Linked DNA regions of Tamandua tetradactyla. The protein of the gene in region 2 purifies or fractionates together with the protein of the main gene of each other region. This does not show direct contact. Links are inferred from orthologs where the notes say so. Each region holds a gene or a part of one and is shown on either strand. Other genes may lie near its edges.

The links.
Region 1: the proteins of MINK1 (region 2) and STRN4 purify together in Homo sapiens (affinity purification with mass spectrometry; 3 studies listed by BioGRID and IntAct, with this or other methods). This does not show direct contact. The link is inferred for Tamandua tetradactyla from reciprocal best matches to the Homo sapiens genes MINK1 and STRN4.
Region 3: the proteins of MINK1 (region 2) and CNOT9 purify together in Homo sapiens (affinity purification with mass spectrometry; 3 studies listed by BioGRID and IntAct, with this or other methods). This does not show direct contact. The link is inferred for Tamandua tetradactyla from reciprocal best matches to the Homo sapiens genes MINK1 and CNOT9.

Annotation. Positions count from the first base shown.
Region 1 is NC_135342.1:14,476,710-14,486,490, forward strand, and holds the start of STRN4 (striatin-4), read left to right. Parts: upstream 1-5,792; 5' UTR 5,793-5,809; coding exon 5,810-6,091; intron 6,092-6,158; exon of another isoform or gene 6,159-6,186; intron 6,187-7,889; exon of another isoform or gene 7,890-9,298; coding exon of another isoform or gene 9,299-9,325; intron 9,326-9,781. Other genes in the region: ribitol 5-phosphate transferase FKRP, read right to left, coding at 1-263, 2,347-2,487, 4,454-4,515, 4,938-4,969. UniProt on the Homo sapiens protein: Calmodulin-binding scaffolding protein which is the center of the striatin-interacting phosphatase and kinase (STRIPAK) complexes.
Region 2 is NC_135332.1:60,561,936-60,571,806, reverse strand, and holds the start of MINK1 (misshapen-like kinase 1), read left to right. Parts: upstream 1-5,121; 5' UTR 5,122-5,418; coding exon 5,419-5,475; intron 5,476-9,871. UniProt on the Homo sapiens protein: Serine/threonine kinase which acts as a negative regulator of Ras-related Rap2-mediated signal transduction to control neuronal structure and AMPA receptor trafficking.
Region 3 is NC_135329.1:194,076,658-194,086,451, forward strand, and holds the start of CNOT9 (CCR4-NOT transcription complex subunit 9), read left to right. Parts: upstream 1-5,750; 5' UTR 5,751-6,250; coding exon 6,251-6,274; exon of another isoform or gene 6,275-6,469; intron 6,470-9,794. UniProt on the Homo sapiens protein: Component of the CCR4-NOT complex which is one of the major cellular mRNA deadenylases and is linked to various cellular processes including bulk mRNA degradation, miRNA-mediated repression, translational repression during translational initiation and general transcription regulation.

The DNA.
Region 1 (9,781 bases), on a different chromosome or scaffold from region 2:
TGGGTCCTGCTGCAGGAAGGAGTCCACCAGCTCCGGCACAGCGTTGTCAAAGGCCTCGAATTCCCGCACCAAAACAGTGACGCGGGGGGCGGTGGCAGACGCACGGCGGGGGCCTCGGGCCCGGGAGTTCCTGGGCTGGTGCTGCAGCCACGAGACATAGAAGAGGACCAGAAGGTTGAGGGTGATGGCGGCTGCCAAGGCAGCCTGGCAGCGGGTGAGCCGCATGGGGCCGAACTCAGGCCCTAGGGGGGCCTCCGGGCATCCTGGGGAAGGGGGAATGAAAGGGGAGGCTGGAGCTGGTTGTCAGAGCCTCCCTCACCCCAAGCTTTGCCCTTCTCTCCCCACCTCTTCTTAATTCCCCCTTTTCCTTAGTTAGTTCCACTTTTGATCTCCTCTCCTCCTGGAAGCCTGCCCTGACCTTCCAGCCTGGTTTAACACCCTCTTTGGGTTCCTTAAGCCCCTTAGGTGACCCCACCCCAGCCAGATCACTCCAAGCCATCACCATGTGGGGCCAGGTCTGTGTCCTCCCGCTGGACCGAGAGACCCATGAGGGCAACACCCGGGCCTGGGCCTGTCTCTGCTTCATCCCCAACACTACTCAGCCCAGAGCCAAGTACACAGTAGGTGTTCAGTAAGCGGTTTTTCACTTTCCCTTCCCATTCAGTTCCACCTTTTGCCTGTTCTTTGTCAATGCTCATTCAGATTCAGGTTTAGTTATAGATGCCCCTCACCCCCATCCTCAAGCCCGCTTCCTTCCTCTCTACCATTCTCTCCTCCAAGAAGCCACCCCTGATCTCTTCTCCCCTTCCCTCCCACACCCTGCTATGCTGCAGCCTTGAGCTTTAGCCACCCCCCTGCTGCCTCCATCTCACTTCCTTAAGTTCGTGGGTCATTTTTTTCCTGATGGTCAGCCAAAGCATTTTGGTTTAGCAAGAAAAGCCAAAAAAATTATTTTAAGGCATAACTCTCCCAATTTTAAAATGCTGGCAGCTAACTGAAGGGAAGAGAAAGGGGGAAAAAAAAAAGGGTGGCATGGGCCGCATCAACAGAGGCTGTCAGCCTTAGGCCATCTACTCCCAAATGACCCCAGGTGGCGCTGTCTCCCCGTCCCACGGTGCCTTGTGGACTGGGCTGGTTTCCCAGGGCCAGGGGTGCAACTCTCTATATTCCCTATAGATGCTCAAAAATTTTTCACAAGGATTTTATTGGTCTCTGCCCCTGTCCAAGGGAGGGGACATCAGAGACCCAACCGATTGCCAAATCTGTACCTCCTAAAAACAATGATCCATGTTCCCCATTCCCACAGCTCTCCTCCTCTGGCTCCCCCAGTTCCCCACCAGCCTCCCCCATCCTTCTGCCCTGGTCCTGTCCCTGTCCCATCACCTTCCCTATGGCGACCTGAGGGATCTTCCTGAAGCACAAACCTGACCTGTCTCCCCCCTGCTCAGATCCTGCCCTGTGCCCTGGGAGAAAGTTTCAGCTTCTTACATCCCACCCACCCCTTCAGCCCCCTCTCCTGCCACGCCCCCTTCATGCTCTAAGCCTCAGCCACCTTGGACTTTTCTTTCCCCCAAACATGTCTTGTTTCTCGACCTTCGCAGATTCTGTTCCCTCGTATATAAAAGTCTTTTCTCATATGCCCCCTTCTTCCCATCCTCCTCCTGAAAAATTACTGAGGCTTCAAACCTTGGCTCAGAGGTCGCCCCTTGCTTCCCCATCCCAGCCCTGCCCACCCTCGGTTGTCGCTGTCTGGGGATGAATCTGTCTCCCCACTGGACTGTGAACCCCAGGAGGGTAGGGCTGGGAGTGTTTCAGCCACCACTGGGTCCCCAGCATGTGAGATTGCACTTGGTGGGAAAATGCTGGCCAGAGTCCGGGTTCCTTGTCTAAGGCCAAGGCAGCTCTATCCTAGCACCCACTCAGGTCCCAGGAGCCAAACTCTGACTTCATTGCCGTGTGCCGTGTGCCGGATCTGGTCTTCCTGCCTCCTCTCTCTCTCTTACCAGAAATGCCCTCCCACCTCTCTGCCCTTCCCAGTCCTGCTTGCCCTTCCTGGACCCAACTCAGATGGCGCTTGAAAACCCAAGTCACACTTGAAGAGCGATTCTCTAATTTTTATAACCTTGGCACTGCCTTCTGGATCTTAGATTGGTCCCACCTTCTTTCCTTCATCTCTTCAGCATGTATTTATTGAATTCCTACAACATGCCAGACACTGATCTAGGCACCGGGGAGACAGCAGTGGACGCACAAGGACAGCAGACCACATCCCAGCCCTCGTGGGAGTCACACTGTTGGGGAAGGAATCTTTGGAACCAGAGAACCTTCCGGGTCTTAGAATCTTACCATTTAGGTAGTTAGAAGCACAGAATGTCAGACCCTTAGTTTTAGAATCTTCATGTCCTTGAAGGTCACAGCAAGAGACCATCCTCCTGCTTCTGCCATGGTCCCCTACAGTCTGTTCACTGCTCTGTGCCCAGAGGGATCCTGTTAAAATCCGAGTGAGACCCTGTCCCTCCTTTGCTTAAACCTGTGGCTTAAGCCTCACCTGGAGGACAAACCAAGTCCTCCTCATGGCCCACAAGGCCCCGTCTGCTCTGCCCAGTCCCTCTCTGCTTTGCCCCCCACCACGCCTCACCAAACATCATTCTGCAGACATGATCAGATCACTCCTGTGGCAGTGCTGTCCCCTCCCAGGTATCCACATGGCTCCTCCCTCCTCCCAGGTATCCACATGGCTCCCACCTTCCCCCCAGGTATCCATGTGGCCCCCCATGTCCATGTGGCTCCTCCCTCCCCCCAGGTATCCACGTGGCTCCTCCCTCCCCCCAGGTATCCATGTGGCTCCTCCCTTCTCCTCAGGTATCCACGTGGCTCCCCCCTCCCAGGTATCCAACTGGCTCCTCCCTTCTCCTAGGTATCCATGTGGCTCCTCCCTCCCCCCAGGTATCCGCGTGGCTCCTCCCTGCCCCCAGGTATCCACGTGGCTCCTCCCTGCCCCCAGGTATCCACGTGGCTCCTCTCACAGCCTTCAGGTCTCTGCCAAAATGTCACCTGTCCAGGGAGCCTTTCATTTTAGCAGCCCTATTTAAACATTTATTAACCTCTTTCCACAGACTCCCTGTCCCCATCCCTCCTTTAATTTTTCCCCTCTAGTACTTCTCCCATAGACTTTACTTATCTATCTTGTTTACTTGCTGAGTCCCCACTGAAGGTGGAGATCTGTTTTCTCTGTTTTATTTCCTGGGCTCTCCCTAGCACAGAGCTCAGTAACTGGCATACAGTAGGTGCTCAATAAAATGTGGGTGGAATGAATGAAGTTCTTGAATTGTTAAGATGGGGAGACTGTGGCTCAAAGATGGGAAAGGATGCAGGGACCAGAACCCAGGTCTCTGCTGCCCAGGCTCTGTCTAGCTGACTCGGGCAGGAGTCACTGAGCAGGACCAAACCAGGTCCTCAGACTCTAGCTGGTTTGACACCCAGATAAAGAGGTGCTATCTACCAGTGAGGGGGTGAGGGGACCAGAGAGGACAAAGAAAGTCTTCTAGTTCCCTGACGAGGCTCGTCTTGGCCTCCCTAACTATAAGGGCTAAAACCCCTTCAATGGGGCCAGGCAGACATAATGACAATTTTGAAGGTCCAAATGTTTTCCATTTTCCTGAATCAGGGTGATGATAATACCAACAATTCTAGCAACTCACAATGTGCCAGACCCTCTTCTAAGCATTTTACACCTATTGACCCATTTAATCCTCACATTATGATTACATTGGAAGATGAGGAAACCAAGGCACAGAGGAGTGAAGTCACTTGCCTAAGGTCACACAGCTAGGAAGGAGAGGAGCCAGGATTTGACCCAAGGATGCTGGCTCCAGAAACTGTGATTTACACTAATAAACTCCACTGTCTTTCTTGGGTCCATGCAGGTAGCCCTGCCCTCAGTCTACCGTCAGTGTCCCTTTCCCAGCCCTAAGATGAGAGGTGGTTTCAAAACTGAATGTGGCACATTAATGAATTCAACTCATTAACTCTACAAACAGATATCTTTTCAGTGCCCTCTGTGCCAGGCACTGTGTTCTGGGGAAATGGAGTGAAGGAGGGAAGGAGACAGAAAAAAATCACACAATTACATATGGGGGCAGGAAACCTGCAAGAGGCTGTGATAGAGAAAAACTAGGGGGTTGCTTTAGAAAAGGCAGTCAAGGAAGGAAAGGCGAGTTAAGCTGAGACATCTGTCTCTCCACCCCCCACAGAGCAACATGAGTGGATCTAGACTTGCTTTGGGACTGGGTTCACCAGGCCTGAGCTCTGCACTGACCTGAGCCTCAGTTGTTGCTTCTGTAGAATGGGAGTGTGAGGGGTAGAGAAAGAAAGAGGCGCATGGGAAAGCCTTTGGGGACGAGGAAAGGACAGTTTCCATGTAAAGTGCTGGTGACACTGAGGGACTTCTTACCTACTAGGCTGCTGGCTGGGGGGACTCCAGGGGGGCAGTTACTGCCCGATTCAGCTGCACTGCTGTGGGAAGAACCAGAAAATCCCAAATCAGCCAATCTGCAGAACAGTGCACAGCTTCATTTTTACCTACAAGAGGTGACTAGAGCGTCAGGAAATCCTTTCTCTGGAAACCCCATAAGCTCAGGCATAACCTGGCGGGTCTCGGGAAGGGGATAGAGTGGGATGGGTAGGATGTCAGTAACCATAACAACCTGTAATGTGCCTCCACTGCTCCCCACCGCCCCCCATAATGTGTTCAGAAAGGTGGAACTGAAAGGTATGGAAGCTGTTACCATGCCGATGCCTTCCCTAGACACATTCCACCTAGAGAGACAATCCTAAATGTCCCCTACCTTGGTGGGCCTGGTTCCCAGGATCACCGGAAGGGGCTGCCCTTCCCCCATTACCAGAGTAACCAAGACTTGGCCTTGCTTGTTTCTCACCTCCCAGGAGATGGTCCAGGCCCTGTATCCATAGTAACTGTCCTTCAGAGCGTCTTCTCTAAATAAAAACACCTGGCTGGGTTTGGCCACTGGGCCTCCCACGATGGGAAGTGGGGGGAGATGGTTACCATGGTAATGCCAACAGAGTGCACTATGCCGGGGGAGGGGAGCCTGGGGCTGGGGAAAAGAGATGCTTCTCAGTGATCAGTCTATTTGAGGCTGGGGTCCTTTTTACCTGAGTGCTAGGTGAGGAGGGTTGCCATAGTAATCGATGTGGTAGGAGTAGAAGAATCCACCAGGGACTTAGGTTACCTTAGCAACCTCCTCCAGGTGCAGGGCCCGGAGAGGTGTGGGGCTCTATAACCACAAAGGTGAAGGAGGGGCTCTAGGCTGGTAAGGGTTACTATGGCAACCGACCTGGGCCAGGAATCAGAGGATGGGGTCACTGCTGAAACCACCCCGGTAGTCGCCCTTTCTCTCCAAGAGTGAAAGTGATTTTCAAGGGGCGTGGTATTTGGGTCTGGACAGGGTAACAATCTTTCCTTCGGGCGAAGTAGGAAGAGGGGGGCAGCAAGCGGACCCTCCCAAAGTCTTCCCGCTCCGAGGGGCGAGCCGCACACCGGCCTTGGTCTCATTTGCCCTCTGCGGGGCGCGCGCCCCTTCTTTGCCCCGCCCCTTCCCTCCGCCCCCTCCCTGCGCGCGCCTAGGGGTCCACCCGGGTGGGCGAGGCTCGCGCCCGGCCTCTTCTCGCTCCCGGCCCCCCCGCCCCACGCCGGGCGCGCGCGCGGGAGGCGGGGGGGGGGGGGGGCGGTTGGCGCGGCCGCGCAGGCGCGCGAGGCACAGCGGGCGCGCGGGCCGGCCTCGGGGCCTCCATGATGGAGGAGCGAGCGGCCGCCGCGGTCGCCGCCGCCGCCTCCTCCTGCCGTCCCCTCGGCTCCGGTGCGGGTCCCGGCCCGACTGGAACGGCCCCGGCCGCTGCCCCTGCCCCCGGACCGGGCCCGGCAGGTAAGGGAGGCGGCGGCGGCAGCAGCCCTGGACCCACCGCGGGACCCGAGCCCCTGAGCCTGCCCGGGATCCTGCACTTTATCCAGCACGAGTGGGCACGCTTCGAAGCCGAGAAAGCCCGCTGGGAGGCCGAGCGCGCCGAGTTGCAGGTGAGTGCCGCCCCGGGACCCCCGACCCCCGCCCGGCCCGGCCCGGCCCGGCCCGGCCCGGCCTCACCCGCCGCCGCCGCCGCCGCCATCTTGGAGCAATGGCCGCCGGGACAGCCGGGGGGGCGGGAGGGGGCCGCGACCGGCTCGGAGACGGAGTGGGGGGCCGTCCGAGGAGGGTCCTGAGAGGGCCCGGCGGCGGGCTTGGGGGGGCCCGGGGCGTGAGAGCGGCCGGGCCGTACAGAGGAAGGGGGCGGGAGGACTCCAGAACCAGCGGCGTGTAGCAGTGAGCGGTGCACCGGCGGACGGGTCCTGAGGGGAGGGGACCCGGGGCGGGTGGGGAACCTAAGCGAACTCAGGAAAGGATCACGAGGGGAGTTGGAGGGGTCGGAGAAAAACCCGAGGGGTCTTGCATGGCAGTGAGCAGAAGACTGCAACGGACTCCCCCCACCCCCACTCCCGGACCAGCCGAGGGTCTGAGATGGGGCTTGATGGGCCCCGGGTGGGTGGGAGGGGACGTCGGAGCGGCTGAGCGAGTCCCAGCGGGGAACCGGGAGAAGAAGTCCTCGAGCCTGGGGATGGGGTGTGTTTCGGAGCGTTCGGACCGGCGAAACTGGAAGATCGCTGTGGCAGGACTTCTGAGGGATCCCAGGGTGAAGGTGTGTACCTCCTCCTACGGAGGGGAAATTTTGGGGATCCCTGGCATGTATGGCCACAGAGTGTGGGAAAGAGTCCTTGGGATGGAAGTGTGGCCAGGACAGAGGACGCACCCTAAAGAGCCTGTGGGGAAGTGCTTGAGAGCAGAGACTCCAGTTTGGGGGTGCGTGCGTGTGTGTGTGTGTGTGTGTGTGTGTGTGTGTGTGTGTGTGTGTGTTAGGGGGATGGCTGTGAGTTGGGAGGTGTGTGAAGGGTGTCAGGTAGAGGACCCTGAGCTGGAGTCGGGAGGTGGGAGTAGGAGGGGGAGGGGGGGAGGGGTATGCCTAACCGGAGAGAAGGGAATCTGGGATGGTGACAATGAGGAGGAATTTGGAAAGGCAGTAGAGGAGGAAGCATCTTAGAAGGATCCTGGGGGGAGATGCATTTGCGGATGTTTCTGGGAAAGGAACCCATCCATGGTTTGTGGAGTAGCTTGAGAGAAGGTTGTGCCCTAGAGTGATGTAGACAGGAGTCAGAACTTGAGCTGTGTTGCTATGACCTTGGCAAGTGTAGGATCCATTTGCAGAGACTCTCTGGAGGAGTCTAGGGATCAGAAATGAGAGAATTTGAAGGGATTCAGGGATGGGGCATGAGGAGTCTGAGGGTTCCTGGGCTCGAATATTACTGGCAGAAGTTGTCAGTACCAGCTTCTGGTAACCCCTCCTGATTTGATTTTTTCTATCTAGCTGATGTGGGGACCCAAATAAATAACTGAGTAGAATATTGTCTACAGGATATAGAAAGAAAGCCTCCTTTCCCAATTCAGGGTTATGAGATTGCATCCCACAATTCTCCCACCTACACCGGGGATTTTGGTTGTGTGAAAACTGAGGCTTGGGGCTGGAATAGGAGAGGAATAAAGCATTTCTCACTTTTGTGTCCCACGCTCTATTTCCAAAGCTCTTTCTTAGTTTACATCTCATCAGATCATCTCAACACCCCATGAGGTATCTATAACAGCACTTGCTGTTTACTGAACACTTGTTTTATGCCAGGCTGTGTGATAAACACTTTATGGACATGTTAGCGTTTAAATGTAACATTCTGAGAAAAGTGATTTTTGTCCCCCCCCCCTTTTTTTTTTTTAAAATAATCGGAAGAGAAAACCAGTGCTTTCAAAGGGTAAATTATGTATCTAGGATCACAGCCAGAAAGTGGTTTCAAACTCTTGCTCTATACCTCTCTGTCACTCAGTACGATGCGAAAACTGGCCCAGGGAAGCACAGCGACTTCCCCAGGGTTACCTAAGCAGTCACAGCAGAGCCTGGACTGAATCCCAGTCTCTTGGGCTCCATGCTAGAGCACCCCACAGCACCCACCACACCACTTTCTCATCTCGGAGACTAATGGGCAAATAGATGTGTATTTTATTCTCTCACTCAGAGACCCTTCATGGAGTTTGAGAGGAACTTGTGGGTAGCATTCAATTAGACTTTCTGACATCTAGGCTCTAGCATCACTTACTTTGTACTTAGATTTTGTTCTGTTACATAGTAGTAAGTATTCAAATATCTCAGATGTGTTGTGTGTGTGTGTGTGTGTATGTGTATGTGTATGTGTAAAGGGAGAGTCCCCTTTTCATTCTTCATCCCTTCCCTATTCCCTCCGCCTTTCTACCCTGTTATTGCTATGAAGGCAGTTCAGAGGATTTTTGTGTTTAATATATGAAATGAAACTGCATATATCATTTTGTGACTTTTTTCCACATACTTGTTTGTTTTGGTGTTCTTTTCCATATCAGATCAGAGAACTCTTCTTTATTTTTGATTACTACCTCCCATTCATTGATTATCACTGCAATAGTTTACTTGGTCCTTGTTGATGGACTTGTAGGTTGTTTCCAATTTTTCACCATCAGAAACGACTGCAGTGAATATCCTTATACTCCTGGGTGAGTGTAAAGAAGAGATGGAGATAGGGGTGTTTATATACTGCTGGTTGTTTCCCAAGTTGCCCTCCACCAGTTTATGCTCCCACCAGCAGTTCCTCTTTTTTACACACCTCTAGTAAAGCATTGATCACTTACCAAAGGTGTAACTTCTGTGAGAGCCTTTAAGGCCCAGATGGTGTCATGTGTTTCTGACTTACTGTGGATAGCTTCTTGGCATCTGTGAAAAAGGCTGTTCCTAACCCAGGGCCTCCTGTGCACTCAGTACTCGTGCTCAGTAAATGTGGGTTGAATGGCAGAAGAGGCAGTGCTCTGTGAGGGCCTGCCATGAGGCCCCCAAAGTTGGGAGCAGGGAGGTGTTGTAGAAGCAGGCTGGTAATAAGCAAGAATTTGCAAGGGAGTTGGAGTTGGGGGTTCCCACAGATAGGTGATGAGGTTTCTGTCCTTCAGGAACTTCCAGGCCAACTGGGAAGGCTGGTTTACACAGGGTGCTACAGAGAACTGTCCAAATTTATGCACAGTTGAGTTCTTGATTTTGAGTCTCTATGTTCTGTGCATTTCTGAGAAGGGAAGCTCTTTGAGGACAGGAAGAACTTCTTGGAGTGAAGGATTTCAATGGACATTCCATGCAGGAGTTGAGAGATGGAGATGCGGTAAGCATGGCCCCAGCTGAGAAGGTGGGGGGCTGACCCCTTCCCACTACCAGCCTCACACAGGGGTCCTGAGAAATCCAGTGGAGACTTATTCCTACTAGGAGCCTCGGCGCTTAGACAGGAAGAGTATGAGAGATGCAGGGCTAGATGGGACTCTACGGGGAACCTCTCCCTGGGGTGGGACAGGAAGGTTAACAGAAGGGACACAGAGATGTCAGCCTCTGGGGGCAGGCTTAGATGGTAAGTTCCTCTGGAAGCCTTTAGGTGCTGCTTCCCCATAGACAGGAAAGATCCGGAGGAGAGATGGCAAAAGTGAGGTCTCAGAATGGTTTGGGTATGTGTGTGGTCTGTCATTCTGGCCAGAAGGATTGGCAGGGAAAGGATATGATAAGAATACCTCTACTCCTTCACGGCTCCCCCATGTCAGGCAGCGATGGCTGCTTTCATGTGTGGTGA
Region 2 (9,871 bases):
AGGGCTAGAGAAGTCAGAGAGGGCCCTCCCTTGGAATGCAGCTAAAGAGGGCGCTCCCATCCTTAGGCTGGGGAGGCAGGAAGGGTCCCAGAGCAGAGCAGCCTCCCCACTGTCTGGTTGAAGCCACTGCTACAGAGGAGCAGGAAGCCAGGGTCAAGCCTGTTACTCCAGAAGGAGGGGGCTGTGTCCTGGGCCTTCCCCATCTCTCCTCTCCTCCTGCCCTTGAAGCCTCTCTTTGCTCAAGGGCTTCCCCTAGCCCCTTCCTGCCAAGGTCGGGGGAAGGGTGAAACCGCCTTCAGGCTTCAGCCCCACCTGGGAGGGGCCACACTAACCCCCTCCACCAGCCTACTGACAGACACTAACTTTGTATCAGTCCAATAAGCGTTTCATAAATAAAAGTGAAAAAAAATGTCCATGCCTCTTCCTCAGTGGAACTGAGTGCTGTTCTCAGTCACCCCTCCCTGCCCATATGTAGCCCTGGTGCCCTTCACCTCATCCATGGGAGGGGAACTTTTCCAGCCCATTCCTTTGTTTGTTCTCCCATTTCCCTCTCCGCTCTACGGGATCTCGGTCACCGGGTTGTTGAGAGAAGGAGGTGTTCACACAGCGATGCCTGGGTGGGGGCTTTCAGTCAGGAAGAACTAGATCCAAATCCTGGATTTGTCACTTGACCTTGTCCATCCACATCCCCTCTCTGGGCCTTGATGGTCCCCAGTGAGAATAATATTTAAATGCCTGACTTGCTGCAAGGATTCAGGCCTTGACTAAAACATTTCTTGAGTACCCACTATCTGCCAGGTATCGTTCTCGACTCAGAAGCGAGCATAACAGACAAGGTTTCCCCGCCTCGTGGTGCTGTGTTCTGGTGTCTCACTGTCCAAGATGGTAGCCGCTAGTCACATTTGATTATTTAAATTTAAATGAGTTAGAATTAACAAAAAATTGAAAAATTTAGTTCCTCAGTTGCACTGGCCACATTTCAAGGGCTCCATAGCCACTCATGGCCAGTGGGCAGCGTGTTTGGACAGCTCAGGCCCAGATTGTTTTCATCACTAGAAAGTTCTGTAAACAACGCTGCTCTAGGGGAAGAGAGAACTAAATGGCATAGTCTGTGAAAGAGTATAGCAGGCCTGGGACAGAGGATGGGGTTGCCTCCCAGGGTGGGTGGAGAGAAAGATAAGAAGTATATCGAGAGCCTTGACTAAACTGGTAACATTTCTTTGAGTGGTGGGTAGACAGATTTTTATTATATATATAAGCTTTACATATGTCTGAAATATTTGAAATAATAACAATTTAAAAAGGTTTAGTGCAGGCCCTGGCTGTTGCCCTTCACTCCTCCAGCCTCATTTCTCCCTCCAAGTTTCAGAATTGATCCTAGTAGCATGAAGAAATGGAGGGGACTAGTAAGTTAGGAGCATTCCTGGAAGAGGGAAGGGTCAGAGGGGTGATACCGTGCAGAGAGGGAACGCTTTTGCTTGGCCCTCATCTTTTCTTTTGACTCCAGCCCTCTGTTCCTCTCTAGCAGCCACTTCCATATAAAAAATCCCCCTCCCACTTGGTGTAGTGGTCTCCCGGTGCTAATTGGAATTCTACTAATTGGCCTCATTATCAGCAGTAAGTGCCTCTTCCCCTAGGGGGACCATTACCTCCTTAGCTGAGGAGTGAGGTGGAGACAGCAGCTGCCCCAGGTTAGGCGAAGCTCTAGGTAAGCTGCTTCTCCACACTGTCTGTGGATGCAGCTGTCCTCCTCAGTCAGGCCTGGAGTTTGTTGAATGGAGTCTACACAGCGCAGGGGCCAAAAAGCAGTGGTCTTGGAATCAAGAGAACTGGCTGAAGATCTGGAATTGAAAGAATGAGTCCAACCACCCAAGGGAGTTGGGAGGCTCTGAAGATGGGTGGGTCTGTGCAAAGGATTCATTTGCCCCCCTTTCCAGGTGTCTTATGATTGGTCTTATTTTTAATATTTTTTGACACATGGTCCGGGACTCCCTCCACTCCACCACATAGTCTCTTTTAAGGTTTTAATTATGGGCAATTTCAAGTAAATACAAAAGTAAAGGCTAGCATAATGAAGGCTCATGCATCTAGGTATCACACCATCATCCTGCTTCAAAAATTACCAACTGAGGACCAGTCTTGCTTCTCTGTCCCCTTCAGAAGACACTGTCTCGAGCTTGGTGACCATTTATCCCATCCCTGTAATCTTGATTTGCTTAATCATTCAGTATCTCTTTATTAAACACTCTGTGTATCAGGCGCTGGGGAAGACCTAATGTGTACCAAGGGGTTTATGTCCCAAATTTTATTTTATCTTACCTCTATAAAGTAGAAATTATCATCCCTATTTTATTCACGATGGAATTGAACCTCACAGAGGTTATAAGCGATTTGTCCAAAGTGCTAACTTCAAATTCTGTTTTTTTCCTACCGTACTAGCTAATGGTCTTGACCTTGAGTTACCATGTTTTTACGGTACCTACCCAGACAACAGGATGCCTCCATTCACTTAAGGGTTATTGACCTTTTAGTGGGTGCCAGGCCCTCTGCTGAGCAAGACTGACCTCATTCCTGCCTTAAAGGAGATTCAACAAGACATTTACAATTCAAATTGTTTAATGTTACCATGGGCTTAAACCTGGCAGCTGACAGAAGAGGGGCCAAAATCAGTCTTGGTGGGTCAAGGAAGGCCTTTTGAAAGAGGCAATTTAGCCATGAAGACAAGGCAAAGAGTGATGAGAGTGAGCTGGTCAGGAGGTGAGGAGTACTCCAGGGAGAAGAAATAAAGTGCAAAGCCTGGAGAAAAGTATATCGAATTTTGGGATGTATAAATAGAATAGCTCAGTATGGCTGGACTATATCAGGTTTAGTGGCAGAGTATTAAGAAATAAGGTAGCCACTTCACCCCCACTAGAATAGCTACTATTAAAAACAAATAAAAAATAACAAGTATTGGCAAGGATGTAGAGAAATAGCAAAACTTGTACATTTTTGGCAGAAATGTGAAAGGGTGCAGCCACCATGAGAAACAGTTTAGCGTATCTCAGAAAGCTAAGTATAGGATTACCAAATGTCACAGCAATCCCACTTCAAGATATATACCCCAAATAATTGGAGGCAGGGACTTCTACACAGATGTTCCATAGCAGCATTGTTCACAATTGTCAAAAGGTGGAGACATCCAACTGTCCAATTGTCCATCAACAGAAGAATGGATAAACAAAATGTTGTAGACATAAAATGGAATATTATTCAACTGTAAAAAAGGAATGAAGTGCTAGTGCTGATACATGAGACAATGTGGATGAGCCTTGTTGAGTGCAATAAGACAGACACAAAAGGATAAATATTGTATGATCTCACTTATATAAAATAATTAGAATATGCAAATTCTTATAGTCAGAAATTAGAATACAGGTTTCCAGAGGGGTGGGGGGAGGGTATGGGGAGCTAATGCTCAATTGGTAGAGTTTCTGTTTGGATTGATGGAAAAGCTTTGGGAGCCGGTGGTGTTGATGGGAGCACAACATTGTGGATGTGATTAACACCACTGAATTGCATACTTGAAAGTGATTAAAATGGGGAATTTTATGTTACCAGAATATAAAAATAAATACCCCATAGAACTGTATAACACAAAAAGTGAACCCTAATGTAAACTATGGACTAAAGTTAACAATAGAATTATAATAATTGTGGTTCATCAATTGTAACAAAGTTACCATACTTACAAAATTTTAACAGAGAAATCTGTGTGTGCATGTTTGTGGGTCCTATATGGGAACTCTGTACTTTCGGCATAATTTCTCTGTAAACCTACAACTGTTCTTATATTTGAAAAATGCCAAAATATAATAAGGCAGAAGAAACTGGCAGAATCTTGAGTCTTTAACTCTACCTAGAAGACAGTGGGTCTTAAACAGGGGAGTGGCATCAAATTTGAGTTTCAGAAAAATTATTCTGGGTTTGGAGAATTTGCTGATAGTAGTGGAGGCAAGCGGTGATTGTGGCTTAGATAAGGGCAGTGGCAGTGTAAATAGGAATTGAGAGGGAGGGCAAGACTGGATGTCCACTTAATGTGCCAAGGAAGGAGAGTATTCAGCCCATTTCCAAAGACCTTAATTTCAAACTTTCCTAGGTAATGTTTATATTAAGGCTGGTGGGGGGGGTTTTCAGAGATAACTGTGGTGGTGAAAGGGATTTCAGGATCATACAGCCTTGCCCCCTCAACTTTAGTGAAAGAAGAGCCCAGAGAAGCAAAGCAACTTGCTCAAGGTCACACAGCATATTAGTAGCAGAATATGACTCCTTATTCTTTAGGTAGAATTTTCCAGCCTCCAGTGAGGCTAATGACTGGGGGTGTTGTGCCAACATGACTAGATCGAAGGTGACCCAAGCGAGATTTGAAGGAGTTGGTGACAGCTTCCTCCTCTTTCCCTGACTCTCCTCCGGTGCAGTTTTAGTGATCAGTCAGTGAGTAAATGTTCAAACAGTTCCTTTGTGCAAAGGAACTTTAGAAAGGTGCAGAGATACACGTCTGCGGTAGGAATCCCTATCCTGAGATCTGACTTCCCCTTTTCAATGCTCCCATGCCAGGTAGGGAAGGGGGTAAAGGTCTGTTCTGAGGCTGCTAGTTGTCCCCACCCCCCCCCACAAGGCTTCTCCCCTAGGTTCTCACCCAGAGGCCCTTCCCACAGCGGCTCCACTGTTGCCATGGCAATTGGGTGGGTGGACAGACAGCCCATCCCATCTAGAGGCTACCCAGCCCTCGCGTGGGGAGTTTCCATAACAACCCCCCAAGTAATAAAGGGGGTTGGATTCCGCCCCCCTTCCCCCGCAACTAGATAGGTGGGTGGCTTGATTGGCAGCTGGGCATACGAAAGAAGGAGGGAAAAGAAAGGCAAGGCACCAACAGAATTCTAAAAGGAAAATGGGGGAGGGAAGACGAAAAAATAGGAAAAGGGAAGGAGACGCGCGTGCGCACGCGCGCCAGCTGGTGGGCGCGCTCCGCGGCCGCCCCGGCCACCGCCCACTCCTTTCACGCCAGGCTTGTGCGGTCGCTAAGTCCTCGCGCGCGCCTTTCGCTCTTTCTCTTGCGCCTGCGCGCAGGTGTCGGCGCTTAGGGGGAGGGGGAACCCGGCGCGCTCGCATCACGTTCCCTCTTCCACCCTCCGGGTACACGGACGCTCTGCGCCTGCGCAGGAGAGTCGGGCGGCTCGGGTTGCAGGCTCCGGGCGGTAGCTCCTGTCAGTCGGTGGGTCGGACCTCTTGCCGGCCCTCCCCCATCCCGGATCTCCGGGGGAGGCGCGGTGGAGCCCGACCCCTTGGTCCCCCGATGGGGGAGAAGCGGCGACGGCGGCAGTGGAATAACCGAGCCGGAGCGTGAGCGGCCCTGGGGCCCGGTTCCCGGCAGAGGCCATGGGCGACCCAGCCCCCGCCCGCAGCCTGGACGACATCGACCTGTCCGCTCTGCGGGTGAGCTCGCCGCCCCCCCCCCAGCCTCAACCTAGGCCGCAACCCCGCTGTAGGAGACTGAGGGGGCCGCACGCCTCACATGCTCCCCGGGAGCCCCCTCCGCCAGCCTCGTGCCCCTCGCGACCACTGCCCTTTTCCCGGGCTCCTCGTGCTGCAGGGCTCCCCCTCTGCACCCCGCCCCCCCCCCCCCCGACTCGCGGCAGATTCTGGGAGCTAATTTGGTCCCCACCCTGTGGTGCCCCGCCCCCACATTGCCCTACCACCCCTACTTTTGCTGGGAGGTACGGGACCTCTCCCTCCCAGTTTGAGGGCCACCCTTTAGTTCCTCTAAACTTATACCCCCCCCCCATCTTTGCAGAATCTTCTCTGGCCCCTTACCTCTTCTTGACCCTCTCTCCACTTTTACCCTTACTTATCCTTCCTTCTCTTCCTGTTTCTCCCCTACGAATTTTGATCGCAACTCATCTTGACAGCCTCCCCCTCATCACCATTTCTTTTCCTCACCCACCCCTGAATTGCATCTCCTCCCTGGTCGGAATTTCAGCCTCCCCACAACGCCGCACACCTTCTACCTTCTCCCTCATCTCCTTGTTCAGTTTTCCCTATCCCTTCTCTCCTGTTTCAAGTGTAGCAGTCCAGAACCAGGCATTTCCGGTGTCAGGGTCCTTGAATATTACATTACCAACTCTGCAGCAGTGTGGGACTGGAAGGAAAGACAAGTGCACTGGGGGAGGAGGGGAAGCATTTATTCTCTTCAGAAACTAGCATGGGCTGAGAAGAGGATGTTTATATGTACATACATACACAAAACGTGCTGCTTGTGGTCAGTCAGGAGGTTTGGAAAAGCGGTGGGTATGTTGGCTGGTGGGAGGAGCAGGCCCTGGAAATCTATCCAGGGAGGAAATAATTAGAAAGGCTGGTGAGGGGAAACAACTGCAGCAGGAATTTCTTCGAAATACCCGTTTATTGCTTCTCATGGGGTCTCTGACATTGAGGAGCTTTCAGTAGTATTCACTCATTTTCCTTCAGCAGGGAGCTTTGACTTAAGGGGCAACTCAGTGGTTTCAAGGTGAATACTCCACAGACTGTCAGCCAGGAAAGTTGCCCTTGGAGCTTTCTCAGCAGACTAAGGTGTGGGGAGAGCAGGGCTTCTCCCCTCTAGGTTTGCTTTACTGGAGGTCCTGTTCAAATTGACTCGTGGCTTTTGATTTAGCCAGGGAAACAGCCAGTAGCGGGAAAAGGCGGTCAGTCATGCAGGTGCCCCGGATATGACTGGAGGGGAGAAGGGAATTGAAGAGAGCAGAGTCACGTCGTTAATTGGGTTTCTCTAGGTGACACAGTTTTTTTTCTTGCCATTCAGGTCATAATTTGTTTGGTGCAATGTTGGGCTGAGATATGGCTTGCTGGAAGTGATAAGTTGCTAGGGAGAAAGGCTAAGCATTGAATTGCTGGGGGCGGGGGCAGGGGGAGGGTGGCAGCACAGGGCGGGCCTGAAGGCTTTAGGAGGAAGATTCTTTAAGGTCCGCTCACCAGGGTTTAAACTGGGATTCTCAAGTTAAGTCAGTTGGAGTATAAGATGGAAATCCAGACTGAGTTCAAGTCCCTTATGTGCTCTATCTTCCCTTCCCATTTGGTTGTTGATTAACTCTGACTATTCAGGTTCCTGTGGCTGTAGTAACTGAAATACAGTTTAAAAAATGGGTGGGTCCAAACCATGACCTTTGGCTTGAACCTTGTGGGACTCTACTTGGGCTTCTTTTTCTTTTTAGCCTCCCATGATAGTTTCGCCTGGACCCTCATTTTGGGATTTCCAGCAATTCTGCAAGAATCCTCTGACCTTGGATGTGGTATTTCCCTTCTGGACTTCTCTGCTTGAAGCAATGTTATTCCCTCCTTAGTTGCTTCCTGCCTTATTCTCTCCTTCCCTCAGGAGAGCCAGGTGACATGCTCCCAGTGCTTCTGTCTGCCTTGCCTCATGCTTCTTAGGAAAGCACTCCCCTTCCCCCATTCCCACCCCAGTATTCCAGGGCTTGAGGGAAAGGTGTGCTTTCTTTAACATGGGGCTAGAGAGGGCCTCCTTTCTCCTTGCTGCTGACCTTTTCCCAGTGCCTTTTCCCTCCATTCCATTTCAGAAAACTGCTGTGGCACTGTCATCTCTTGCTAGCTCTGTCATCTTCTGTTCTGTCCTGTTTCTTAGTGAGAAATGGAAACCTGGAGAATTAGCAGCAAAACATTTTTCCCTTCACTCCATCATCTTGTGTTGAGAGGGGTGGGGGGGTATAGGACAGGAACATGTTCAGCATTTATTAGCTGGCCTTAAAGAGCCGAAGTTGTCTTTCTCCTGTAATTTCAAGATAAGGCTTGATTTTCAACTGATGATGAGAGTAAAAGTCTGATAGTAAGGATAACTGAATTGCACTAAACTCTTAGCCATTTGTGGGAAGCCTAGATGGGCTGTCACTTTGTGATACACAGCCCCACCTGACCTCTTTGAAGCTCCAATTCTAAGCCAGCGCAGCACCGAACCCTGAGTTCAAGTCCAGGCTTCCTCACTTACTGTGTAACCATGGCCTTACTCCCCCTTCTCCCCTTACTCACTACAGATTCGGCATAGAGCCTTACCTCTTTAAGGCTTCGTTTTCTCATCTATGTAGTGGGGATGGTAATAGCACTGAGCTCATTGTTGTTAAGGACTAAATGAAATACTTGCCATTAAGATTTTAGTCCAGTTCCCAGCACATAGTCACCCTATGATGACCTTTGTTATTAATGTTATCAAATTACAATCAGAGAAGCCTTCTGGGACAATTATTTCTAAAATAGCACGCCCTCCCCTGCTTTATTTTCATGTATTTTATATAAAATTTTATATAGCACTCCCTTTGTTTGCTTTATATATTTTTCAAAGTACTTAGCAGCAACTAACATATTTATTTCTGTCCACCCTGAGTAGAATGTAAGCTCAGTGAGAGCTAGGATTTTGTTTTGGTCAGTTTTGCATCCCCAGTGTCTCTACCAGTGCTTTGCCCCTAATGGGGGCTGAAATGTTTGTTGAATAACTGCATGTTTCAACAAGTGAAAGCTCTTAGCACAAAGCTTGTTTAGAGAAAGAATTCATTAGTCAGGCTTGTTAGGCTTCCTCTTGCCTCTCTATTATATACACACAATTAAGAATTATCTTTTCTGAGTTGTTTTTTGAATCACAGAATTCTGGAAGCCTCCATCTGAGAGATGCCTTTGAAGTAAAGTTAGAATCATCCAAGAGAAGATTTGGGCCTCTTGTTTCAAACCTTCTCTGAGTCCAAGCTTGGTTATATTCCAGAAGAATATTCTGACTTGCAACTCTTGGCTTCTCATAAGGAATAAGTATTGGCATTTACCGAAGTGGATGAGACATGGAGGAGGAAGACCCCAGGCTGACCTCTTTCCTTTTTCATTCCTCCTTTTGCTTGACCCACTTCATAAATCAAACATCTTCTCTTTACGGTCCAACCAGCTAAAATAGAAGTTTTAGACTGCAGTGTTCTTGCAACAATGAAGCTGTGCTCACAGTAGCTAGAGCACTGTTAAGAGGGACTTGTTGCTAGGTGGTAGTTGCTGACAGAGATGTTCACTTTCAAATGATTTTTTGTTATTGTGTTTTTTCTTTGGAGAAGTCTTTCTCTTCCTTTCCTTTTCATGTGGCTGTGGAGCTAGTATCACTTGGAAAGCTGGCAGTTCTGGGAATGTATTTCTAGGCTGCTACCATTTTCTGATGTGCTGGCTGTCCAAATATTGATAATAGATACCTTAGGCAAGGGAATGGGGAGATTGATCTGCAGCAGCAGTAATGGCATTAAGTAGTGTCTTTTTCCCAGTAGAGCACTGCATATAGTGGGAACAGTTGCAGCTTGGGGAGCTGGTGGCATTTGGAGTGCAGTGAGATGGTGCTTTGGCAAAATAACGGGAGGAAGGTTGCAGAGAACTTTGCTGAAACTAAGTGTTCAGCTATTCCCCAAATGAGGAATTGATACCACCACCCTTTATGGTATGGAATAGAACAGGTTGTCATAGCCCTCACTGGTATGGAGATGAAGTGCTTTGGAAAAGTAAAGTTCAAACAGTTAGGATAATGGTCAGAGGATCAGCAAGAGGGCCATTTGGGCCACCCCTTTCACTCTTGCCCCAAGAGCTCAATTAACTCTATGCTGTATAAAATCTTGATTTCAAATGTGACCTCCATTCCTTTCAACTTTGAACTCGGTGCCTAAGACAGGGTAGCTTATACAGCTTGAATTTGTAGAAGGTCTTCACTTATCATCTAGGTGACAAGATGGCATGAAGTAGATAGCTGCTATTTACAAGTTTGCCTTCTGGTGTAGGTCTGTAAAGAATGCAGTGACTTTGAACCTGAAAC
Region 3 (9,794 bases), on a different chromosome or scaffold from region 2:
ATTTCACTTTTTCTAAATTTCTTCACAATTATTAAAATTATTATTCAATGCTGAGTATTTCATGAAAATTCAATCAATGATATCAGTAAAAATGTTCCTACTCTGTACATTTATTTGAATGCTCACATTTTAGATACTGCTTTAAAAACATCCTCATCAAAAAAAAATATATAAATATCTTCATCTAGAGGATATTTTGCAGTAAAGTAAGCTAAAACATAAAACTGACTACAATATAAACATAGGCTGTCAATCTTGTTAATTTGTGTACTTATATTTGCAAACAGATATCCAAAATTAAAATATTACTTACTTTTCAGGGACTTTTACTGAAAAACCCTATGTAATAATAATTCATCTTTATTCTGATCCTTGTGCCAAAGGCAAAGCACTCTTCTTGGGGAACTACTCATATTCTGCAGCTATGCCAGTTCTCCGGAAGCCATCAACTGAGATAAAGAAAATATAAATGTGCCTTTTTAAATGAATCCAATATACAAAATTAAAACTTGAAAAAAAAAGTGGCCATTTATGCAACATTAATCCTTTGATTATTTAAAAACCACAAACTACCTTACTGAAAACATTTAAAATATGATGTTCAACATACACATACACACAAACTATGAACATAACTTTAAGAACATATATGTTATGCAAAATGAGGGACTCCAGGAGCCTGCACCTTGATCAATTTGTGTCTTGGTTTACTTATCTCTGTTACATTTTGAAACTAAGAAGTCAGTAAAAAAGAGTTTATCCTATGTTGACTTTATAGACATTATTACATAATGATGGTTTAAGTATTAAGACAGTACTTCTATGATATTTTTATGCAAATTTTAAAGATGATAAACTTGGAGTTTTAACTTTTCTTTCAAAACTTTGTGGGTTTGTTTCTCAAATTTATTCCTATCTTAACTCATTGGTTCATTTGGTAAAAAATCATTTACTGAGGTACACCAATCTGAAGGCACTGTTGTAGAGAAACAAATGTGAAGATGAAAGTCTATGCCCTTATAAAGAGGCCCCCAGACTTCTCTACTTTTGTCTGCCTATCACCACTCATACAAGATAGCTTAGTATCCAAAACCCAAGAATCCAGCCTTTTCATAGCTACTACCCTAATTCAGAAACTCATCACTTTGCCATCAGATCACCCAATATTTATTATGCAATTTACTAAGCACAGTGCATTCTCAATTAATTTTCACAGTAATCTCAAAAGATAAGGATTACTGCTTTCTGTTTTACAGATAAGAACGAAAGGCTTAGAGATTAAGTAATTTATCTATGATCACAGAGTAAGAGATAAAACTAGGTCTAATGCCCATACTTTAAAAATTACCATATTCTATCCTCATCAATGAACTGCAGCAATTGATTTCCAGTTTCCATTCTCTCAGGATTTTTCCACCCAACGAATCACTTATATTACAATAATCATTCTAAAAGAACTACTCTTTTGATATCTTCCCAATTCATTATGGACTAATTGTCTCCTTAACACTCTCCCAGAATGGGGGGAGGAGGGTAAAGAGTAGGGGGAGTCACATCTTTTTGTATTCCAACAAAATACCAAACACTTAGTAGGTGCTAAATTTTTTCTATCAATATTAATTTCCTCACAAACATTTTAAATAACTCATCACTACCTACAGAATAAATCCAAATGCCTCTCTGTGCTTGTCATTCACACATTTCCTATTTCTAAACACAAATCCTATCCTACACAAACAACAATTATTAAAATTTAATATTTCCTCCCACATCCATCACCAACTGACTTATAAATGGAATACTGTTTTATCTACATGGAAACCTCATCTTCAAGTGTCTTAGTTACCCTGTTGTTCAAATATATAAATCACTGTCCTGATTTTTGAGGCCTTTCTTTCCTAAAAAGATCCATACAACAAATAACACAGAGATAAAATTAGTGGTCTGGCTGACAGTGAGGGAAGTTGGCCTAGATAAATTTAAGTCCAATTATAAGTCTAAAATCTGAATGATTTTATGATATAAGAACGACTAAAGTGATACAAAGCTGTTCAAGCTTTTGTCTCTTGTGTCTTCTAATCTATTTTGCAAAATGAAAAAATTGTTGTCATGAGTTGACAAGTATATCAGTAAGCTAGCTCTTCCAAAAGACATGATTAGTTCTCAGAGCAAATACTAATTTATTTATTTTCAACAAATTATTAAGAAATACAAATAAAATCGTCCCTAGCTTATATTCAAGTAAGAGACAGACTTTAATCATAGAAACAAACATATAATTACAAGTTCTGATAAATGATATGAAGGGCATGAAAAGAGATTATAACAGGGTATCTAATTTGAGATTTAGGGGCACAGGGTAAGGAGCATAAAGAGAAGGATTCTATGAGAAAGTACCACGTAAGCAGAAAACTGAAGAATGAATTTGAGGGGATGGAGAGTGGTGTTAGAACATTCCAGGTAAACAGAATAGCACATGCAAAGGCGCTGCGATGGGAAAGAACTTGGGGCAACTGAAAAGCAGCAGCAAGGCTGAAGCTTGGTGAGGGAAAGGAGAATGTTGCAAGATGCTGTTATATGCAGGCAAGAACCATGTTATGCAGAGTCACGAAAATTAAAACTTTTTTTCTAAATGTAATAAGCACTTAGTGATCAGAAAACATCATGCTGAATGGAAAAGTAATGTGATTTTGTTTGGGTTTGGAGAGGAGAGTGGAAAGGAGCAAGAATGGACAGGGCAACCAGAAAGCATACTGACACTGTTCAGCTTATAGCAATTACAATAACAATCAGCATTTACTGTGTGCGAAGTGCTTACCACAGTTATATCATTTAATCTCCATAACCATCCAATAAAGTGGGAACTCTTATTATTCCCGTGTTACAAATAAGAATACTGGGAACTGATTAAGCCCAGGTGAAACATTGTGGCTTGAATAAGAAAAGTGATAGTGAAGATGCAGACAGACAAGTTCAAAATATACATATACCACACACATACACATATACATACACACACACATATGTAAACATGTGAAAAGACAGAACTTGGAGAGGGAATAGATAAATGGGATGAGAGGGAAGCTATGAATGATTCAAGTTTCTAGCTAATGTTGCTGGATAAATGGATATGCCATTTAATGAAATGGGGAAATGGAGAAGAAAGAATTAAAAGTGAAGAGAAACCAAAATTTTCGATTTTACACATTATATCTGAAATTCCTAAGGAAAAAAAATCAAGTTGAGATGTTAAGCAGGAAGTTGGCTATTTAGATCTGGAGTGCACATGCACATGCACACGCACACGCACGCACACACACACACATATACACAAAAGGAATGGGCCGGAAATAAAAATCCTTCAGTGATCAATATAGAGACAGAATTTAAAGCTTAGGGAGGAAGATAAGAATAAAAGGACCTAAGACTGAACCCAAATATTCCATTTTACACATTAAACATCTCCTGCTAAGGTCATGGATTACCCCAGAGTGATATGAACAATGAATAAAAAAGTATTTGCAAACCCTTGTGGGAATGGCGAGAAAGGGGGAAAATTCAACTTTCCCATGTGGCGAATTCCTGATATTCTCAAAAGCAATGGGGACAACCAAAGTAATAGGCCATGCCTTCAATCTTCGGGTTTGTTCATATGAAACTAAACTCCACAAAAGATAAGCTTAAGCCTACTTAAAATTAGGCCTTAAGAGTCACCCCCAGAGAACCTCTTTTGTTACTCAAATGTGGCCTCTCTCAGCTCAGCCAAAACAACAAGCAAACTCACTGTCCTCTGCTCTCTATGTGGGACATGACTCCCAGGGGTATGGACCTTTCTGGCAATGTGGAACAGAAATCCTAGAATAAGCTGGGATCAGGATCAGGGGACTGAGAAAACCTTCGCTACCAAAAGGGGGAAGAGAGAAATAAGACAAAATAAAGAGTCAATGGCTGAGAGATTCCAAACAGAGTAGAGAGGTTATCTTGGAAGTTATTCTTATGCATTAAATAGATATTCCCTTTTTAGCTAAGGCATAACAGAGAGGCTGGAGGGAACTGCCTGAAAATGTAGAGCTGGGTTCCAGTAGCCATGTTTCTTGAAGATGATTGTATAACGATATAGCTTTTGCAGTGTGACTGTGCAATTGTGAAAACCTTGTGTCAGATGCTTCTTTTATCTACTTTACGGGCAGATGAGTAAAACATAGGGATAAAAAATAAATAAATAATGGGGGAATAAATGTTAAAATAAATTTAGTAGATTGAAATGCTAGTGATCAATGAAAGGGAGGGGTAAAGGGTATAGTATGTATGAATTTTTTTCTGTGTTCTTTTTATGAATCGATGCAAATGTTCTAAGAAATGATCATGATGAATACACAATGTGTGATGATATTGTAAGTTATTGATTATATATCAAGAAGGAAATGATCATACGGTAAGATTGTTCGTGTTTGTATGTTATGTTTAAAAAATAAGTTAATTAAAAAAAAAGAAATGAAAAGTTCAAAAAAAAGATCACAGATTACTTCCATGTCACAGGTTTTCCAGGCCTCAATTCAACACTATTGACTTATTTCATCTCTTCTCCAACACTCATCCTCCTATATCCAGTTATTAAATATTACCAATTTCTTAACGCTATGAGCTAAATCCCTTCCATTTCCATATTTTCTTTGGGCAACTGGATCCACATTCATAACTTCAATTACTACGAATATGGCAAATGACAAAAACACATATCATATATAAACATCATTACTGGAGATACATATTTCCAGTCTAGAACTCTGATGAGCTCCAACACTATATCCAACTGCCTCTTAGATTCCAGTTAGAGGCCCGTCATAAATTATCACCCAAAAAAGGCGTTTACAAGAGGTGAAATTTTGAAGAGAATACCACAAAACCACTGTTGGCCAATTCTCCAGAACATAGGACTCTGTGGTCGACTACCATTTCCTTCCACAGATCATGATCTAAAATAAAAATAGGTAACGTGACAACCTGATTTGATGGCTTTAGAGACAGGGACCAATAAAATGCAAGACAAAACTACAATTCATGATTTTTAGCGACTGATGGTTAAGAGGGGAAAGAAAGTGAAGACTGGCCCAGAGACTGAGTGAGTTTCACCTCCAAGACCTGATGGGATGTGCAGCAACGGAAGTCACCTGAAGAGATGGCAGGCCTTAAGGGGCAAGTGCCGGATGACGACAACCCCAGTGTAAGGGGGCCAGTTTCAGGTTGCGGAGGGTAAGACTGACAATAAATACCAGTACATAAGAAAGGGAAAGCCTGGAGGAAAGAGCCAAGTGGAGTACCTGTGACGCCTTGGGAGAGCGTCGAAGGGTTGGGGGCTGACTGAGAAAAGCGGGGCGAACTCCAGAAGAGAGAACGCCGAGTGGGCGGAACACGTAAGGGGGAGGGGGAAGGAAACGGCTCAGTTAAGAAGCTCGCCTGGGGCGCCTTACCTGTGCCTTCGGGTCCGGAGCCCCAGAACAGGCCGCCGGCAGCACAGAATCCGCGTGGAGGGGGAGGGGCGGGGGCAAGGAAAGAAGGGACACCAACACGGAGGAGTTAGGTCGCTCGCTCCCCCCTAGCCAGGGAAAGCAGCTGATGGCGGGAACTGTGACTGTACGCAAACACGCACGCACGCACGCACACTCGACGCGACTAGGCTTGGCGCGTGCGCGGAAGCTTGAAAGCTCCGCCCCTCGTACGTCCTCTCCCCCCTCCCCCCAACACCAAGAGATGCTGAGCCCAGGTAGTCCCGCCCCTGCCGTGACAGTAGTACGCATGAGCACTTTCTATTTCACCCGCTTTCGCCCTCCCAACCTTTCCCTCCTACTCAGTTCTAGTTGGGCATGCGCACTAATTGTCCTCCCGAGAGAGTCCGGTTTTTCCCGCCCTTCACGGGCCTCCGGAATAGGAATAGAGTTCACGCCTTTCTGGGGTTACCTACTAGATGTCGGAGGATGCAGGGAGTCGCAGGTCGTGGATGTCCTTTCCGCCTTGAGTCTTAAAGGGCAAAGAGCATAGTCTAGGATTAACTCCTCCAGAGGCCAGGAGGCGGGAAGAGGTTGTGTGGGCGGGTTCAGGGGTGAGAGGTCATAGGGCTGCGAAGGGGCGGAGCGAACAGTTGGCGGATGGCGGTTGCGGCAGCTCATCATCTTCGGTGGCAGCGGCGCTGAGACGGAGACGCGAGTCGGTCGCGTCTGGTGGTGGGAGGAGAGCGTCGGCGGCTCCCAACATGCACAGCCTGGCGACTGCTGCGGTGAGTGACTGTTTCGACTGACCTGGGCCCAGAGTCCCTCTTCAGCCCCACTTTTCGGCTTCCTTTCCTAGCTCTCTGTATCGGGCCTTCAGTCCAGCTCCTTCCGCCCTCCACCCGCGAGGCTCCGGTTCCCCTGCTCGAGGCGCCTTGGCTGTGGTAGGGCCGGCCCTCACCTTCCCAGCCGACTGGCTTTCCTGGTCTCTAGTGCCGGGCATCGCGTTCTTTTCCCGCCCCGGGGCCTGGTCCGGTTCCCGGAGCGCCTTCCTCGCGGCTGGGGCAAGCCGTTCATTGATTCACTGCGCTGACCGACAGTTTCAAGGCGCCAGTTGTGTTCGGGCGCCGGCAGGGATGAGGGCACTGCGATGGCAAACCTGATGCGGCCTGTCCTCTCGGAACTCACCGCCTAGGCACATCGCAGCGCGAAGGAAATGGTTTCTAGCTTAAACGACTTGTTTTACAGGTGGAAAATATGAGACATGGAAACGTGAATAATTATTGCATCTGACTTTTGGTTCTCTGCATTTAAAGCTTTTCTGACAGTGAGAAAGTTTCTCGTTCAAACACCGTAAAGTAGCCAGGCTTCACCATTCACCAGCGTGATAAACAAGAAATATGGATCATGTAGTTCACCTGTGTGAAGTACTACTCTGACTTCCCATTGCGCTTAGAGGAAATCCAGACTTCCTACCATGCCCTACAAGGCCCTGTATGATACAGTCCTTACCCACGTTTATAACTTCATGTCACTTTATAAGTAAGCTCCAGCTACACTGGCCACCGTTCTATCCCTTCTTCATGCGCTTTTCCACTCAACTGTGCACTTTCTGGTCTCTGTGCCTGGAATGCTTTTACCTGTTTCTCTCTCCCATGTACAGTGTGTGGGTATAACAGCCTCCTCATCCCTCAGATTTCACCTAAATATACCTACCAGTGGTCCTCCCTGACCACCCTATTCACAGTAATTTTGTATTCTGGAGCTTTATTAGATAGAATACTCTTCATGCACTGAACCCAATTTGTAATTATTGTATTCGTTTACTTTTTTTTTTTTTGTCTGTCTTCCCCTTGAGGACAGGGATTATAGAGTCCTGTGTTAGTTATTGCCCCCGTGCCAGGACAGCTCCTGGTACAAAGTAAGGATTCAAATATTTCATTGGTTGAAGGAATATTGATGAGGGAGATGACCACTGACAGCACATAGCCATAATGGGAAAAAGAGGGACCATTTGCTACATCCTTTTCCCCAAGATGAATGATTTAAGGAGATAGTAATGTACTGGAATTGCATTACCAAGCAAATGACATTGGGCACCCAAAATTGCCTTAGTTTTAAATTTGAGGGAAAAAAAGTGAGCTGAATATGGCTGGGTTGCAGAAAATATTGCTTTCTGAGATTTGATCTTTATGGTCTCATTGCCGTTTCCACAGGCAGACGTATCTGCCTCCCATTACCATGTTTCTAAGTGTTTATATCTATTCAAAGTAGAGAGGTAATTTTTATATCTCCCAAATTAGATGATTACGATTTTCCTACCCAGTCACAAGGTAAAGTTGCTGGTAGGGGAGAGGCAGTTTAAACTGAGGGAAATTCAAAGGTTGACTTATCCAGCTCTCAAAATCTGATTATATCTTCTCCAGGTTTTGTACTTCTGATATCAAGCCACTCTTCCCTGTGTCCCCTAAACTGTATACTGAATCAGGTTGCTAAAGCTGCCAGATGCAATGTACCAGAAATGGAAAGGCTTTTACGAAGGGAATTTACTTTGCTACAGATTTACAGTTCTGAGGCCAGAAAAATGTCTAAACTAAGGCACCCAGGAAAGGATACCTTGGTTCAAGAAAAGCTGATGTCATCACATGGAAAAGCATGTGACTGGCTTCTACTGGTCCTTGTTCCATTCCATTGCTTCCAGCTTCTGATGCCAATGGGTTTCCTCTCTAAGCATCTATGGGCCTTCGTTTAGCTCCTCTGGGACACAACTCTGGTCACCTCTAGCCCCTCGTGGGAAGGTACATGGTATGGCTGTTGGGTTCTGCCCATGTCTAGGCACCTGCTCTCTCTCGCTCTGTCAGAACTCCAAGCATCTCCAAATGAGCATTTCTCTTTCGGCTCTGAAGCAACTGTCCTCCAAGCATCTGCATATGAGATTTCTCAAAGATGTTTCCCCTATTAAAAGACTATATTAAACTAATAAGACCCATCTTGAATGGGTGGAGTCATGTCTTCATCTAATCCAAAGGTCACACCCACAAATGGGCACGTCACATCTCCGTGGAGATAAGCTAATCAAAAGTTTCTGCCCTGCAATTTTGAATTGAAATTAAAAGAAATGGCTGTGCCTTCCCGTGCCAAAAAAAAAGAGAAAAGAAATGGTTGCCCCCACAAGATTGGATCAGGATTAAAACATGTCTTTTCTGGGGTACATAATAGTTTCAAACTGACACAATACCTTTTCAATTCCTTTAATTTTCCGTTGTTTCCTAATGCATCTTTTAAGCAACAAAGCTGTAGTTCATTATGTATAAGCCCACAAGCATGTTTCTTCCATTAAATTTACAATGCCTTACATTTATTTGAAAATTTGAACATTAAGATATACTTTTACCTGTTAGGACCACACAACAACTCCAACAAATTCGTTTTTACATTCATATACTAGAATATTTGGTTTGTGAGGAAACGAGAGCATAGAAAAGTTGTCAACTCTTTCCAAACTCTTCATGCCTTCCATTAGAACAAACTGCCTGTGTTGTGTTATTCTGATTTGGGTAAAGAAATAGTAAAGATGTCTGTCAACCACTAGGAATTGGGACAAATTAATAATATATGCATCATTGTCTATAGTAATCTAAGCTGCTTGAGAAGATACTTATTTTTGCCCAATTTACGAGAATTTGTATTTGTATATGCCTTTATCTTTCTCTTTAAATGGCACATAAGTCATTACTTCAATTGTGGATGATGTGATCATGTGAATGTGGGTTGTTACTAGAGGGACAGATTGAGATAATCTGGGAATTTTTTTGTCATTTTGTTGAAGCTTAAATCTTGACTTTAGAGTAGTATTTTATTATGCTAGAAATGTATAGTTGAGTTGTCATTCTTGAGGGAATACGTCCTAACATCCTTCTTTATAACCACCATAGAATATAGTTTACTTCTTTTTCTCATCTATAAAAATGAGAACAGTTATACCACTTAAAGTTCTAAAGATTGATTAAGAATAACAGAGTACACAGTAGATGGCTGGGTTCACTCACTGGTTAAATGTGTTGCTACTAGACTTCAGCCTTGGGACTTTAATTCCTGCCTTACATAGTAACAGATTACTTTGTTATGGACCTTGGAGGTTGCTTCATATTAATAGAACCGCAAATCTTCACTTACCAAGGGTCTTTAATGAATATTATTCTAGGATCTGAAACAGCCAAAGATAAGCCTTCAGGGGATATATTGGGTATGCATTTTTAAAAAATGTTTCCGCTAATTCCCATTGACAATTGTAGCATCCCTAAATCC